Notamacropus eugenii: one gene and its partner. The protein of the gene in region 1 purifies or fractionates together with the protein of each later gene. This does not show direct contact. Links are inferred from orthologs where the notes say so. Each region holds a gene or a part of one and is shown on either strand. Other genes may lie near its edges.

Region 1 (7,979 bases):
GCCCTTCTTACTCCAGTTTCAGCTCTTCCACTCAGGCACAGTGTGTGGCTATAGGCAAATCAATCACCTTCTCTGGTTCTCAGATTCCTCCTCTGTAAAAATGAGGTTGATCGAGTCCAAGGATTAACCTTTTTGAGTCCTAGACTCTTTGGCAAACTGGTAAAGTCTACGGACCTCTCCTTGGAATGTTTTTAAATGCATAAAATAAAACACATTATATATGTGTGTGTGTGTGTGTGTGTGTGTGTGTGTGTGTGTATCTATAGCTACAGAGAAATATATCTACACTTAATTGTAGCCTTGAGTGGGGGGGGAAGATCAGAGTAAAAAGTACCCAGCAGAGAACAAAAGAAAACTTACAAGGAAGCAAAGAAAAGATGGACAGCTCTTAACACAACATGTAGTATTTATCATACAGGCTTTCTTGAAATGAAAATTTGTTGATACATATTTTGCATCCTCTCTTATGTTCTGCTATGCACATGACATGCTCTATGTTCTGCTATGCACATGACATGCTTTATGTTCTGCTACGCACATGACATGCTTTATGTTCTGCTACGCACATGACATGCTTTATGTTCTGCTATGCACAACATGCTTGTTTTCTTTCTTGCTTTGTATTTAAGTTCCAACATTTAGGTTTATAATGTTTTTTTCTTTCTGTATTTGTGTTTGGGTGTTGAGTCTAAAATAAAAATTCAAAATAAAATAAAACACACAATTATAAAGGAAACAATTCTAAAGAAAAACAGTTACCAAAAGTTTTTTAAAAATCAAGTTCATAGAACTCCTGGCTTACATGATCTCTAGGCTACAGATCTCCATTATCTATTACAGGGCATGGTACAGTAGAAAGAACCCTGGCTTTGGAGTCCTGGGACCTACATTCAAATCCTGGCTGAGCCACTTAGTACCATCCCCTGGGCTGGTTCAGTTTCATCAACTGTAAAGTGAGAGACTGGACTAATAGAACTCTAAGGTCCCTCTCAGGTCTAGATCTAAGAGCCTATCCTTCCTCCCAGACATTCATAAAGCTGGGAGCTCTCCTTAGGGTATCGCAGGCGGCAAGTAGGTGCTGTAATGTAAGGCTGGAATATCACTCACAACTCTAGAAGAAACCACAGCGGAAAGATCTGAAAATCTGAAGATTTAGGGAAGGCTTGACAGATAGACAGAAAGTGCTATAATTTCAAAATGTGCCAACTCTACCAACGCTGGTCCAACCTCAGGCTATTTAGATGACACAGCGCACTTCTCTGAAATGCCCAATTCTATCTTATTGTTTTAAACTCCCATTGGAAAGTGCTCTGAGGTGACCAAGAACACTAACGTAGTATACTTTCATCACTAACGTAGTATACTTTCATCTCGCAAAAGACCAATCAAACTGAGAGAAAAAGGACCCTTTGAGGCACCAGGAATAGAGCACCACCATTCTGCCAAAGGAGCCACCCTTCATGTCTCCTCAAAGGCATAAAAAGCATTTCCCTCACTGTACAATTCATCCTCCCTCTAACTGCCCTACCCCTGCCTTCTGTACAGAAGGCACTTTCCTATGCCAGAGATGGTACAATAGCTTAGGAATGTTGAGGACCATTACCTTGAACAAAAGCCCAGTCACTGAATGGGGATGGAGAAAGGAACTAAAGCAGAACAGAAATTCCCAGTTAAGACTCTTGACAATCAGGGATGCATCGTGTAGTGATGGGAGCAGACTAATGAACTAGTCCACTTCAGGAGTTTCCTCCAGCATAAAATGATACTATTGGATTAAATGATTCCCAGCTCTAGATTCTGCGATCTTGGATCCAGTGAATTGTTTGGATGGGAGACAGGAAGTAACAATAATTTACAGTCCTGTAATACCTGTTACATAATAACCCTACTTACTTTCCAAGATCGGTAACTTTGTATCAACCAAGAAGCAAGTACTTATTCGGTGCTAGGTACTACTGTGCTGTGCTGGGGTCTAAAATGAAAACAGTCCTTGCTCTCAAGAAGCTTCCATGCTGCAGGCAAACAGACAGGAGTTAAGTGGGGGCACTCCTTCTACCAGATTATATCATTATTCACTTACATATAATATAAATTTATTATTTTATATTTATTTATCATCACCATTTTGATGTCACGATCCTCCTCGAGAATGAAGGACAAACACAACAAACTATTCCTAGACTCAGAAGATAACCATAGCTGAAAGAAAGCATCACCCTGTGATTCGCTTCCCAAAAACAGACTACCATGGTCTACACTATAGGCAAAGTGCAGGGTGCAGGGGACACCACGGGCACTAGACTGGGAGTTAAGACAACCTAGAACGTGTTATTTACTAGCTAGGAGAAGCTGAGCAATCGATTCATCATCGAGCACTTGTTAAGTGCCTACTATGTACCCAGGGTCACCCCCAGGCTACAAAGCGGCATCGGGAGACCACAGTGACCGTGAAATTGGGGATATACTGTCACCCCCACTTCACGGATGAGGAAATTGAGGCTTAGAAAAAGGAATCTTCGGAAGCCACCTAGTTCAACCCCCTCCCCTCATTTTACAAAGAAGGAAACTGAGGCCGAAGGTTAAGCGCGTAGATCTTAGCTGGAAGAGCTTGCCAAAGGTGGGCTTCGACCCCCAGGTCTCGGGGTCCGGTGATAGGCCCGAGAAGCGGCGGATGGAGGCAGACCGCCGGAATGAACGCAGGGTACAAGACGGGGCCTCTCCCCGCACCCCGAATCCTCCCACCTCCCCTAAGGAAACCCCAGGAGTCGTGCTCACCCCGCTCGGCAGGTTCTTGACGATGAGTCGCGACATGGCGACAGGCTGCGCGCTTCGGGCTCCCCCGGCAAAGCGTTCACGCTGCTTTCCTGGGCGCCGCCATCTTGCTCCACCCGAAACAGAGTCACGTGGCACGCCAAGCTTTGCCGGAAGCGGGTGTGACGCCACATCAAGCCACGCCCCCCCCCCCAGGGCCAGAGGGGTGGGGCGGAGACGCTCGCCGGGAGAGCTCGCGTGTGCGCAGGCGTGGGGCCGCCGAAGTAACCAACCGAACCTGTGGGGAGGAGGTACGGCCAGCAGAGGGCGCCTAGTGCCCCAAGGGAACCCAAGGAGCTGCTTGTGTTTGTGTGCCCAAAGACCATGACGTCAGGGAGAGGATGACCAGACTCGCATTTAAGTGCGCCTGGAGGCGCGGACATCGAGGCCGCTGGGCCCTGGGCGGGAGGAGAACCCGAGGCCTGGGAAAGGCCTCCTGTGGAAACCGGGGAACCAACCAGGCCAAAGCCGGGAGTCTCAGGCGAGGATCCCGCTCCTCCGGGAACACCGTGATCAGCCTACACCAGCGCTGTCTCCCACCTCTGCGCCTTTGCCCGGAACATGGCGCATGCCTGGAATGCCCCAACACTCACTTCAGCCTCCTGGTTACACTCTGACGCCCTTCAAGCTTCGGTTCACAGCCTTTCCCAGTCCTCCCCAGTGCCCGCCTTTCTCAGATGACCTCCCCTCTCTTCTGTGTGTACATAAATCTTGAATCTCCGTGTTCAATCCTGGCCACTCTTTGGTTTTCTTGGTAGATATTGGAGTGGTTTGCCATTTCCTTCTCCAGCTCATTTTACAGATGAGGAAACTGAGGCAAACGGGGTTAAGTGACTTGGTCAGGGTCACCTAGCTAGTAAGTGTCTGAGGCTTGGAGACCTGGTGTCTATCCTCGCTGACATCTAGCTGCTTGAATCCACCTAGTTTCCCCTAGTAGAATGTAAGTTCTTTGAGGTCTGTTTTTGCTTTTACTTCCATCCCCGGCACTTAGTTCAGTGCCTGTCACATAGTCAGTCAACAAGTATTCATTAGGTGCTTCCTGCATGCCAGGCACACTTAATATAAACTTGCTGACTGATTGACTGTTGGATAATGTTCTGAGGACTCTCCCAGCACTGACACTATGATTCTGTGTGGGGGGAATTCAGAACATTTACTTGCTGTATTTCCTAAGTTTATTCAATAGCAAGCTGGTTTGTAACTTATTGAGAAGGGGGTAGTGAAGCCCTTCCCTTTTCACCTTGCTCCCTAGGTTTGTGATTCTACCCCCTCCCTTGCAAACTATATATCTACCAACATAGTCTGCCCAGGGGAGGATCTATGGATGCCAGATTCTCAGATTACATATGGGAGGAAAATCCAACCTAATCCGTCCCAATCTGATAAATCTCCAAGCCAGGAACACCCCAAGTCACGAGGAGGAGGAGCATCTGGGCCCAATTAACTCCTCACCCAGAGAAACAGGCCAGATGCAGGAAGAAATGCTGGGAGGGGCCGAAAAGAGAAACAAAAAAAGAAACAGGTGGGCCATGGGGAGGGAAATTGAGATTTTAGAACTTCTGGGGACCATGGAAGATAAAATGTGCAATGTGGGAAGGATTTTAGGACAGAGTATTAGAAGTGGGAGGGGCCCTAGAACTTAGAATGTGAGAGCTAGGAAGACCCTTAAAACAGAATTTCAAAGTTAGAAGAAGCCTTAGAACAGACATTGTTTTGGCTGTGTCAGACCCAGGGGTGTGCTGGGGTCAGATCTAGCCATCCTGAAAGAGCTGATAGTTAAATTTTCCATGTCATCATACCTAGGAAATTGACAAAGGTTAATTTTTCTTTATTATTTTTGTTGATTTTCTAGATTTAAGAAAGAATTCTTAATGCAGATTAAACTTGAAAGTATATGCAAACTTATTCTTCATAGGAACTGTGTTGATAAATGTTCACTAGCTTACCCCTGTGCAGAGCTGAAGAAATCTTAGACACCATATTATCCAACCCTTCCCTTTTACATGTAAGGATTTAGAGACTCTGCATTTCGAAACAACTTACTTGCCCATAGTCACAAAGCTCAGGACTAGAGCCCAGCATTCCTTGTTATGGTGTCCTACCCTCGTATACTTCCCACTCCACCATGATAAGTAGATATCACACAAGATGGCTCCAGGACTAAAAGCCTAAATATCCCATGCAAGAAAAATATCAATTTATTTTGTCTGTATGAAAGACCATGCTGGGCACCATGGAGGAGGCAAAAGAAATATCAGAGCCAGTCCCTGATTCTAGACAGATTACTATTTAGATGGAGAGTCAAAAACACCATGTATTTCAATGAGTCTATGATCTCCTTCAAGTGGATGTGCCTTCTAACTGTGCAGGTCACGACCCATCCAAGCCTTCTCATCCTGCATCACATTGTCCATTAAGGGTCCTTCTAGAATTCCCAGCCTTCCTTTTGAACACCTATTGTGTGGATAACAGTAGGTGGTGCAGTGCATAGAGTACTGGGCCTGATGGCAGGAAGACCTGAGTTCAAGTCCAGCTTCATACACAGCTGTATGATTCTGGGCAGTTCAATCCACCCTATTTGCCTCTGTTTCCACATCTATAAAATGAGCTGGAGAAGGAAATGGCAAACCACTCCAGTATCTTTGCCAAGGAAACCTCAAAAGGGATCATGAAGAGTCAGACATGACTGAAAAATGTCTGAACGACAACAAATTAATACAATGACACATGACAACTAGGTGGTGTGGTGGGTAGAGCATTAGAATTGGAGTCAGGAAGACCTGAGTTCAAGTCTTACCTTTGACACATATGGACTCTGTGCTCCTACACAAGTCACTTACTCTCAATGCTCTAGCTGCCTCTCTAAGATTATAAATTGCAGAACAGGTTTTAACTTTGCATTGGTAGAAAGAATTTCCCCATCTGGGAATTCTCAAAATTTTGAAATTTACAATGAAATTAATTAAAATTAAATCAAAGGTCCAGTCCATACCTCTATTATTATGATGAAAATTTCCTTATTTTAGTTTGATGGACAGGGACAAGCTGCCATACTACTTGTGTATTTAATGTTCTGTGGGCTATTGCTCAGGTCTACAAAATGGGTGTTCTTGTAAGTAAATACAATTGTTAAAATAATAATAGCAGTTATATAACACAGGTTTGCAAAGCATTTTATGAATATTACCTCATTTGATCCTCACAATAATCATGTTCTTTTTAATCTCCACTTTACAGATGAAGAAATTGAGACATATAAAAGTTAAGTGACTTATCTGCAGGAGGCAAGATTTGAACTCAGGTCTTCCTGACTCCAGGCCCAGCTTTTTATCACTGAGCCACCTGTCTGTAATTTGTATACCTTGCAGTACTATATAAATGATACTTCATCATCATCATCATATGCAAACAATCTCTTTTTCTTTTAATCCAACTTGAATTTTCATTGTTTTGTACTTCTTATGACAATAGACTATAAATGACCAAAAACGTTCACATATTCCAACTTCAGCAACCCTCTCTTTCCTCTGATGCTCTAAATGATGTGGTGGATAGAACACTGAACTTGGAATCAGGACGTCTGGAGTTTGACTTAAGTAAGTCTTAACCTCAATTAAGTAAGACTTAACCTGCCTTGGTTTCATTTTCCTCATCTGTAAAATGGATAAAATTGTACCTACATCATAAGGTTGTGAGAATAAAATAACACATGAAGTGATCTGTAAACTTCAAATGCTATGGAAATATTATTTTCAAGACTGTACCAAAGTGTTTAACTGATAATAAATTGTTTATCTTGTTCTTTGCACTTCTCTGACTCCTTAGATTACTTTAGCTTTGTGGCTTTTTGCTTTCAATTGCTGATTAAGGGAATGTAGAGTATCTGATACATGCTTTTTTTCCAAATATTTGGAATATATTTCATTTCACATATTGGGGTTTTGTTGTTGAAACATGCATTGGGCAGTGCATCATTCAAGTTTCCCATATGTGTCCCAGTTGGACGTTAACGCAATCTGCCAGTGCCTTTGCACTTTAACAGTTTCCCTAACTCCTTTCTGCCATCATGGCATTTGACAGCTGTTCTTATTCCTAGATAATTCCACCTCTCCTCCTAGGGTCTTTCTATGTCAAAGGACATTGCACGCACTATCATGTGCAAGTCCTGAAATGTTTTTATACTTTTGGTCAATTATTGTGAGAGATTGTATTTGTTCATGAGAGTCAGAAAAAAAAGATACCTTTTTTGAATTCAAGTTAAGCCAGCAAGTATTTATGAAGTCTTCAGTATGTTCCAGACACTGTTAAAAAACCCCACAAAAATGCAGCTCCTGCTCTTAAGTAACCCACAGTGGGGAAGACAATGTGCAAACCCTTACGTACAAATGGGATACATACAGGATACAGATCATCTCAGAGTGAAAGCAATAAGATTAAGGCAGAAAGGGAAAGTCTTCCTATAGAAGGAAGGACTTTAGCTGGGACTTAAGAGAGCCAGGGTAATCACCTTAGTAAATATACCTTAGTAAAAGGAATCCAAAAGTCAAAGATGAAGAGGGACAGAATTCTAGTTATGGGGGATAGCCAGTAAAAATACCCTGAGTAGAGTTATAGTGTGTTGTGTAGCTTAACAGCAAGGAAACTATTATTACTGAATTACAGAGTTCATGGAAAGGGAAGAAGGTATAAGAAGACTGGAAAGCTAGCAAGGGATCAGGTTATTAAAACCGTTAAAAGCTCCCAAAGAGGATTTTATATTTGATCCTATAGATGACAGGGAGAGAGCAGAGGTTTGGTTTGGTTTGGTTTTTGAGTTGCAATCATTCCTGCATTTTCAGTTTGACAGCTGAGTGAAGGATGGACTGGGGTGGGGAGAGACTTGAGGCAGAGGCCAATCAGTAGCCCACTGAAATAGTCCAGGAAAGATGTGATAAAGGCCTACACTGGGTGATATCAGGGTCAGAGGGAGAGAAGGTGGCATATGGGAGAGATGTTACAAAAGTAGTCGCCAGAACTTGACAGCTGGTTGAATGTGAGGGGTAAGAGAGGGGAAGGAGTCAAGGATGACACCTGGATTGTGAGCCTGGTTGACTTGAAGGATAGTGGAATCCTTGTCAGTAATAGGGAAGTGAGGAAGGGAGGAAAGCTTGGCAGAAGAGATAATGAGA
Region 2 (6,904 bases), on another chromosome or scaffold:
TACCTAAGTGGACTCATAAAACAAACTTTCCTGCTTTGGGTTTTTTAAACTTTCACAGTAGTAGATCGATTGGGTTCTCTACAGTTCCTTATCAATTAAAGAATTTAAAAACTGGTGTAAAAGATCTGTTTATTTATAGAATGAGGATGCTGCCCCAATATAAACCAAAGAAAAGTCTCAAGCAATGATCCACTGATACTATTTCTAATTTATCAGTAGATACTGTCACTCAAGCTTTAAATATATTATATTTACCTGCCCTAATATACCAACACAAGTACAAAAAAAAAGGCTTTGAGGAAAGGCTTTAATAGTCTTAACTAGTTTATCCCACAAAGAACAGCAAAGTCTTAGATGAAGCTTCTACCCCACCCCCACCTGCACCCCCTTATAGCTTTAGGGTTATTAAACATGTTCTATGAATATCCAGATGTGTTGTACATCTGGTAAAGAGTTTGCTTTTATTTTTTTTCACTAGCTTTAGAAGGCTGTCTTGTTAGAACAGAGACAAGTACTGTCACATTAGTCAAAAACTTTTGTGGTCTAAAGTTTGAACCTTAGAAGATTAAGATTTTAGGCTTTGAGACTGAAAAGTTCATTTTAACATAAAGATGTTGGTCTTCATTTATACTTAACCAAGTAATTAGGAAAACAGATGATTTGTAGTTTTTTTAAAAAATAAGTATTCAGTTACCAAGATATGCAGCTCATTATCAGCCTAATCAAACCATTTTTGTTTCACAATGTTTCAATATGAAAAATTCTGCTTAAAAGTTTAGACTTAAATTTCAATCTTAAATGTTTATACTGTTTAAGTATATATGAGTGGTAGTCCTTGTTACAGTATCTTTTGCCAGAATAACATACTGTAAGTGTGTATCAAATGCCTAAATAGATTACTGCTGGCTATAAAATACTGCTAAAAAGCAAAATTACTCAATAAATGATCGATATCATGGTTTGTTTTTTTTTAATGCCACAAATATACTATACAAATATACTTTTTGAAAACTTTCTGGGGAAAATGATCTGGTTCTAGTGTTCAAAGCACTGAGGAAATTTAGTTATCTAAATAAAGCAAAAAGACAGTAGATATTGAGCTACCTCCATATTTAAGCTACTGTACTTCCATCTGAAAAAAAAATGTGGCTCTGTCCTTAATATATCAACATCTACTGAAACTGGGTAGCTATCCAAAGGGCATTCAGAGTAGTCACCATTTATTATTTATAGCATTAAATGTGGAAGTGGCTCTGATGTCACTGACCCTACCTAGTGGAATCTTTGACTCAATAGGCATTCATGAATTGAGAAAAATCTGACTATGAAAACCTTCTGATATAATTTGACAAGTGATTTCTGTCCTCCTTTCCTTCAACTCAGGGAAAAACTTGTTACTGTTAGACTAGATACAAAGAAACCATCAAGGTTTCTGTAGCAAAAGTGCTGGGTAGAGAAGCTAATACAGCCTAGACTAGAAACTAGCCTTAAAATACTGGTGAATGTGCACTAAGTTATCCACCCAGCATATTCCCTATGATTGATTTCCTCAGCCGCTAAAATTGGCAGGTACCACCTGCCATATATACGTCTTTCAGTCAGTCATCATGGGAGAAATAAGAAATTTTAAAATGCTCCACTTCTACTACTGTTACTCTTCCTTATACCATCCTGTCACCCATTTCTGCAAAGACTTGTTTTGGTTCCAGATCCACTTTCCCCAGGCCTGGAGCTCTGCTCCCTAACCCCGCACTGGTTTCTAATACAAGGCTGATTTACCCCATCAATTAGTCATAGCCTCTTGCTTTTGCAGAATAGTTGGAAGGTACTAAGGGCCTATCAGGGCTTCACTGTCCCTGCAAACACAGAAAAAAATGAGTAAACAGCTACTCTTCCTTTCAGTTAAAATACTGTATCCTCAGAGAAGCCTCTGAGCCCTCCAGCGTGAAGCAGCTGCCGGGATTTCCGCAGAATGTCAGAAGCCCTTTGTCCGGATCAACCCCAATAATCCAGTCACCAGAGAAGCCCGGGAGATCCGGGGCTATAAATCAGTCACTCCCAGAAAACCGAGCTCCCGGAATACACCCAACCGATTATCCGGAGCACTCACAGACTCTGCGCTCTTACTCGGGTCGGGGGGGACGAGGGTTAGCTACTTCAAGACTGAGGGTGAAGGAGAAAGGGGGTGCACTGAGGCCTCCGAGGCTTGAGGAAGAGGAGGATGAGAAGCAATGGCGACTGGGGCTTCCCTGACCCTCCTTTTCCATTCTCTTCTACCTCTCTCTTAGTCTAGAGGGGAAAAGGGGAGGGAATCACGAGAAATGCAGCGGGGGCAGGGATGGGGGTGAGGGGGAGAGTGCAGGCTCGGACCGGGCGGGGCGGCCCAAGGCTCCGGACTAGGTGGATCAGCCAGGATGGATTTGAGGGGGAAGGGGTCGGAAAGAAGACCCTTTGGGGTGCTGGGGGCGTGTGTTTGCCTGGTGGGGGTAGGCGGGGGGAGGGGCAAAGGGGACAGGATGGGGGAGGGGAGATCACCCGGACGGCGGGTCGGGGTCACGGGCCAGGGAGCAGGCAACGGGTCCTCGGGAGCAAGAGTGGGGACTGGAGGGGGGAGGGGGATCCCTGGATCGGGTCGGCGAGCCAGGAGTAGGGAGGGGAAATGGAGAAAAAGATCAGACCCGAAGAGGAATCGGGTGGGAAGGGAGGGCGGGGGGAGCCAGGACAGGCCTCCGTCGGGGAGTGCTGGGGGGAGGGGAGGCGGAATCGGGGCTGTGGGAGGGTTCGGGCCCTCCGATCGCGCTGGGCAGGCCCGGGGCCGAGGGTCCGGCGGGGCCGCACTCACCATGAGCTCGATGGTCTTGTCCTCGATCACCGAGTCGGGCTCCATCGCGGCACCCGCCCCGCCTCCGCCTCTCGCTCCCCGCAGCGGCGAACGGCCCCGGAGCTGGCGGCGGCGGCGGCTGCGGCGATAGTGGCGGCTGCAGCGGCGGCGGCGGCGGCGGCAGCGGCGATCGCACTCTCTCTAGCTGCCCGCCCGCCCGGGCCGCCGGCAGCTCCGCCCTCCCCTCCGCCAACGCCGTAACGCAACTCGGGGACTACAGCTCCCAGGAAGCCCCGCGCCCAACTACAGGGCATACCGAGCCGGGCGGCCTGTCCGCCGCAGAGCTTCCTGGGATTGAAATCCTGGCTCTAGATTGATCCCTTCGCCTGCGAATGCAGCCTAAGCCTGAGCTTCCAGAGGACGCCCTAACCTTGACTCTGTTCGTCGGGAGTTAAGACCGCTACATTTTGGGCAGAATTGGGGTTCCTGAGTAAAGAGAGTTATTGAGGCGTTCATGAACTACACATCCCACTAGCCTCTGCGGTCGGGCCTTGTAGGTTTCGGTGCTTCCGGCGCGCTTCCCCGAAACTACTTGGGTACCTTGATGACTGTCGGAAACCGTAGTCCTAAAACAGGAGCGGAAACTCCAAGACGACTTAACAGTCAGTGAGGCCCTGCGCGTGCGGCTAGTTTCCGCACATGCGCAATCTGTCCCCGTTCGCTCCGGCACCCCGAAGAAGGGCCGCGGAGCTTAATTAAGGGGTGACCTAGAATAATTCGTGTCGGGGGAACCCCAGGGGCGAATCAGGCCCCGGAGCAGGAAGGGTTGGGTTGTGGGGTTCTTTATGTTGGAGGGGTCTAGAGTCGTATGGGCCTGAATAGGGAAGGTACCCAGTAGCAAAATGGGGGCGGGCGGGAGCAGGGAGAAGTTGGTTTGTGGAGGATGTTGGGTCGGGCCTTGGCAGGAGGCAGGAACCAGAGAACTGGCAGGTACCGGGCTCTGCGCCCTGCGAGGTGGAAGTTCACTCGCTGCATGCTGAAGGGGGAATAAATGGGTGGAGGGGCCCGAGGGCATGCAGTTCCCCAGCGCTAGTGGGACTTTAGACATCAGCTGGCCCAGGAATCCTTAACCTTTTTTGTGTCGATCCTTGTGATACAAAAATGAAAACTACTGATCCAGTCTCAGAATAAGATTTTAAATGCATGATATGGAATATGTGGTTATAAATTATTTTTTGTGCTTAGCACAATAAATTTTCTATTATGTTTTAATAGCAAGCTCATTTTTAAACTTATAAGGAAATATTATGGCTCTTGAAGTGCATTTGGTGCTTTCACCTTTACAAAGTTTTAGATGAAAAGTTCAGAGTTCAGTAATAAGTGCAAAGAGCCCTAGTTAAGAAAATTCCTGACATATAGGCTTTTTGCCTAACCTTATGTTAAATCTCTTTCTAACTCTTGGTTAGTGGTTGAGGCAAAGTTCATTTTACAGGAGACGTTTGGGTAAGGAAACAGGAGATTATACTGTAATATCTATAGAGCTGACCTTTGATTGGGACTTGACTCATCCTGGGTCCTCTTCTCCAAGATGCAATTCTCCTAGATACTTCCTTGTCTTCCACTGTTCAGTATTCCCTTTGCTCCTCCAACCTCTTGAATCCAGTGGCTCAGAATCTTTCTCCACTCACTCATCCCAATTCTACTTTCTTCCTTTTATACAAATTGATAAAGAGTGGGATCCAATCTCTCACAAGGAGCCAGTTCAAACTCAGTTCTGATTGTTTGATTGAATCAAAACGTTCTCATCTACTATGGGGATCAGAACCAAATGGGATAGTTTCACTATCACCTTTATACAAAGTAAACCAATTATAACTAAATCTGGGTGTGGTCATGAGCCCTTTTTTTTTGTCTTCCCTAGGTACTGTTTCACTGAGTGATCTCATCAACTCCAGTAGTTTCAGTAATCTTTTCTTCTGATGATTTTCAGATCCAATCTCTCTCCTGACCTCCAGTCCCACTTCTCTTTTTATTAATTTGTTTTCAGTTTTCTACAATCACTTCCATAAATCTTAGATTTCCTCCCCCTTCCACCCCCTCCTTTTTCCCTCTTTTTCCCCTCCCTTCCCCAGAAAGCATGCAATCTTACATGGGTTCTACACATACATTTTTACTAAATACATTTTCACCTTAGTCATGTTGCATGGAAGAATTAAAAGGAATGGGAGAAATCATGAGAAAAAAAAACACAAGAGAAAATAGTCTGCTTCATTCAGCAATCCAATTCCATAGTTCTTTCTCTGGATGTAGAACACTCTTTGCCTCAAGAGTCTATTGGGAATTTTTTAGGTCCTTGCATTGCTGTGAAGGGCTGAGTCTACCAGAAAAATTCCTCTCCTTGCACACTGTAGTTGTTACTGTGTACAAAGTTCTCCTGGTTCTGCTCCTTTCACTCAGATTCAGTTCATTTAAGTCCTTCCAGGCCTCTCTAAAGTCTTTCATTCATCATTTCTTATAGCACATTAGTATTCCATTACATTCATATACCACACCTTGTTCAGCCATTCCCCAACTAATGGGCATCCCCTTGATTTCCAGTTCTTGGCCACCACAAAGAGAGCTGCTATAAATATTTTTGCACTCCAGTCCTACTTCTCCAACTGCCTGCTGCCCATCTTGAATTGGATGTCCTGTAGACATATTAATCTTACGTATCTAAAACTGAACTCATTATCTCCTACCACCTGTAAGTGTTACACCACCCACAATCTCCTCCTCTCTTCCTAACTTCCCTATTACTCTTAAGAGTACCATCATCTTCCCAGTCCCCAAAGCATCAGTTTAGGTGTTATCTTTGACTTATTCCTCTCACCCTCATTCACAATCTATTGCCAAGGCTTGTCAATTTTATCTTTGTAACATATCTCCAATTTGGCCCCTTCTCTCTGATCCTGCCACCATCCTGGTACAGGCAGGCGCTCATCATCTCATGCCAGGACCATTGCAATAGCCTGCTTATTGGCGACCTGCCCCAAATCTCTCCCAATTCTAGTCCCTACTCCATTCATCTGTCAAAGTGATCTTTCTAAAATGCCAAGTCTGACCATATCACCTTCCCTTCCCCCCGCCCTTCACCATTAGCTCCCTATCACTTCCAGGATCAAATTTTAAAATCCTTTCATATTCAAAGGCCTTCATAACCTTCATAACTATCCTACCTTGGAGATCTTCCCTCCCTCCCAACCCCCACATACTTTTCAATCCAATCTTCCTTGCTGTTCCTTGCACAAGATACTCAAGTCTAGCTCCATGCCACTTCTGGCTGGCTGCCCTACTTGGAATACTCTCCCTCCTTACCTCTACCTCATGGCTTCCCTAGATTCCTTCAAGCCCAACTAAAATCCTACTTTCTATAAGAAATGTTTCCTAATCCTCCCTAAAGACCTTCCCTCAGTTGATTATCTCCAATTTAACTACTTAAGATTATTTGTACATAGTCATTTGCATGTTGTCTTTTCATTACACTGAACTCCCTGAGATCTGGGGCTTGTTTTTGGTTTTTGTTTTGTTTTTTGCCTTTCTTTAAAAACCCCAGTACTTAGCACAATGCCTGGTACATAGTAGGTACTTTAATGAACACATCTTGTTGTGATTAAAAAGTTATCAAAATATTTCTTTAAAAAGTTTTTGGACTCCAGATTAAGAACACTTTTTGGTCCAGTCCCTTGGAAGGTACAGACAAAAGGGTAGGAAGAGATCTGGGAAAGCTGTGTCTTCAAAACCCAGGGAGGAAGGAGTATTCAGGAGGAAGGGATGGGCAGTAGAATCTGATGCAGAGAGGTCAAAAAGAATGAGGGAGATTCGAGTGTATGCCATTAGATGTAGTCATTTAGAGATCATTGGTGACCTTGGAGAGAGCAATTTCAGTTGAGTGATGAAGCTAGATTTCAGTTGCAAAGAACTGAAAAGTAAATGGAGGGTGGAGGGGTGGAGAAGACAGAGTCAATGGCTTAAAGAAGGCATTTTCCAGGAGTTTGGCTATGCAGCAGAGGAGAGGTATAGGACAAGCTCTCAAGGAGATGG

What was found. The genes of interacting proteins can lie anywhere in the genome.
Region 2: the proteins of RBM19 (region 1) and FBXW11 purify together in Homo sapiens (affinity purification with mass spectrometry; 3 studies listed by BioGRID and IntAct, with this or other methods). This does not show direct contact. The link is inferred for Notamacropus eugenii from reciprocal best matches to the Homo sapiens genes RBM19 and FBXW11.

Annotation. Positions count from the first base shown.
Region 1 is NC_092875.1:32,094,778-32,102,756, reverse strand, and holds the start of RBM19 (probable RNA-binding protein 19), read right to left. Parts: upstream 3,002-7,979; 5' UTR 2,812-3,001; coding exon 2,776-2,811; intron 1-2,775. UniProt on the Homo sapiens protein: Plays a role in embryo pre-implantation development.
Region 2 is NC_092872.1:403,849,769-403,856,672, forward strand, and holds the start of FBXW11 (F-box/WD repeat-containing protein 11), read right to left. Parts: upstream 3,016-6,904; 5' UTR 2,888-3,015; coding exon 2,843-2,887; intron 1-2,842.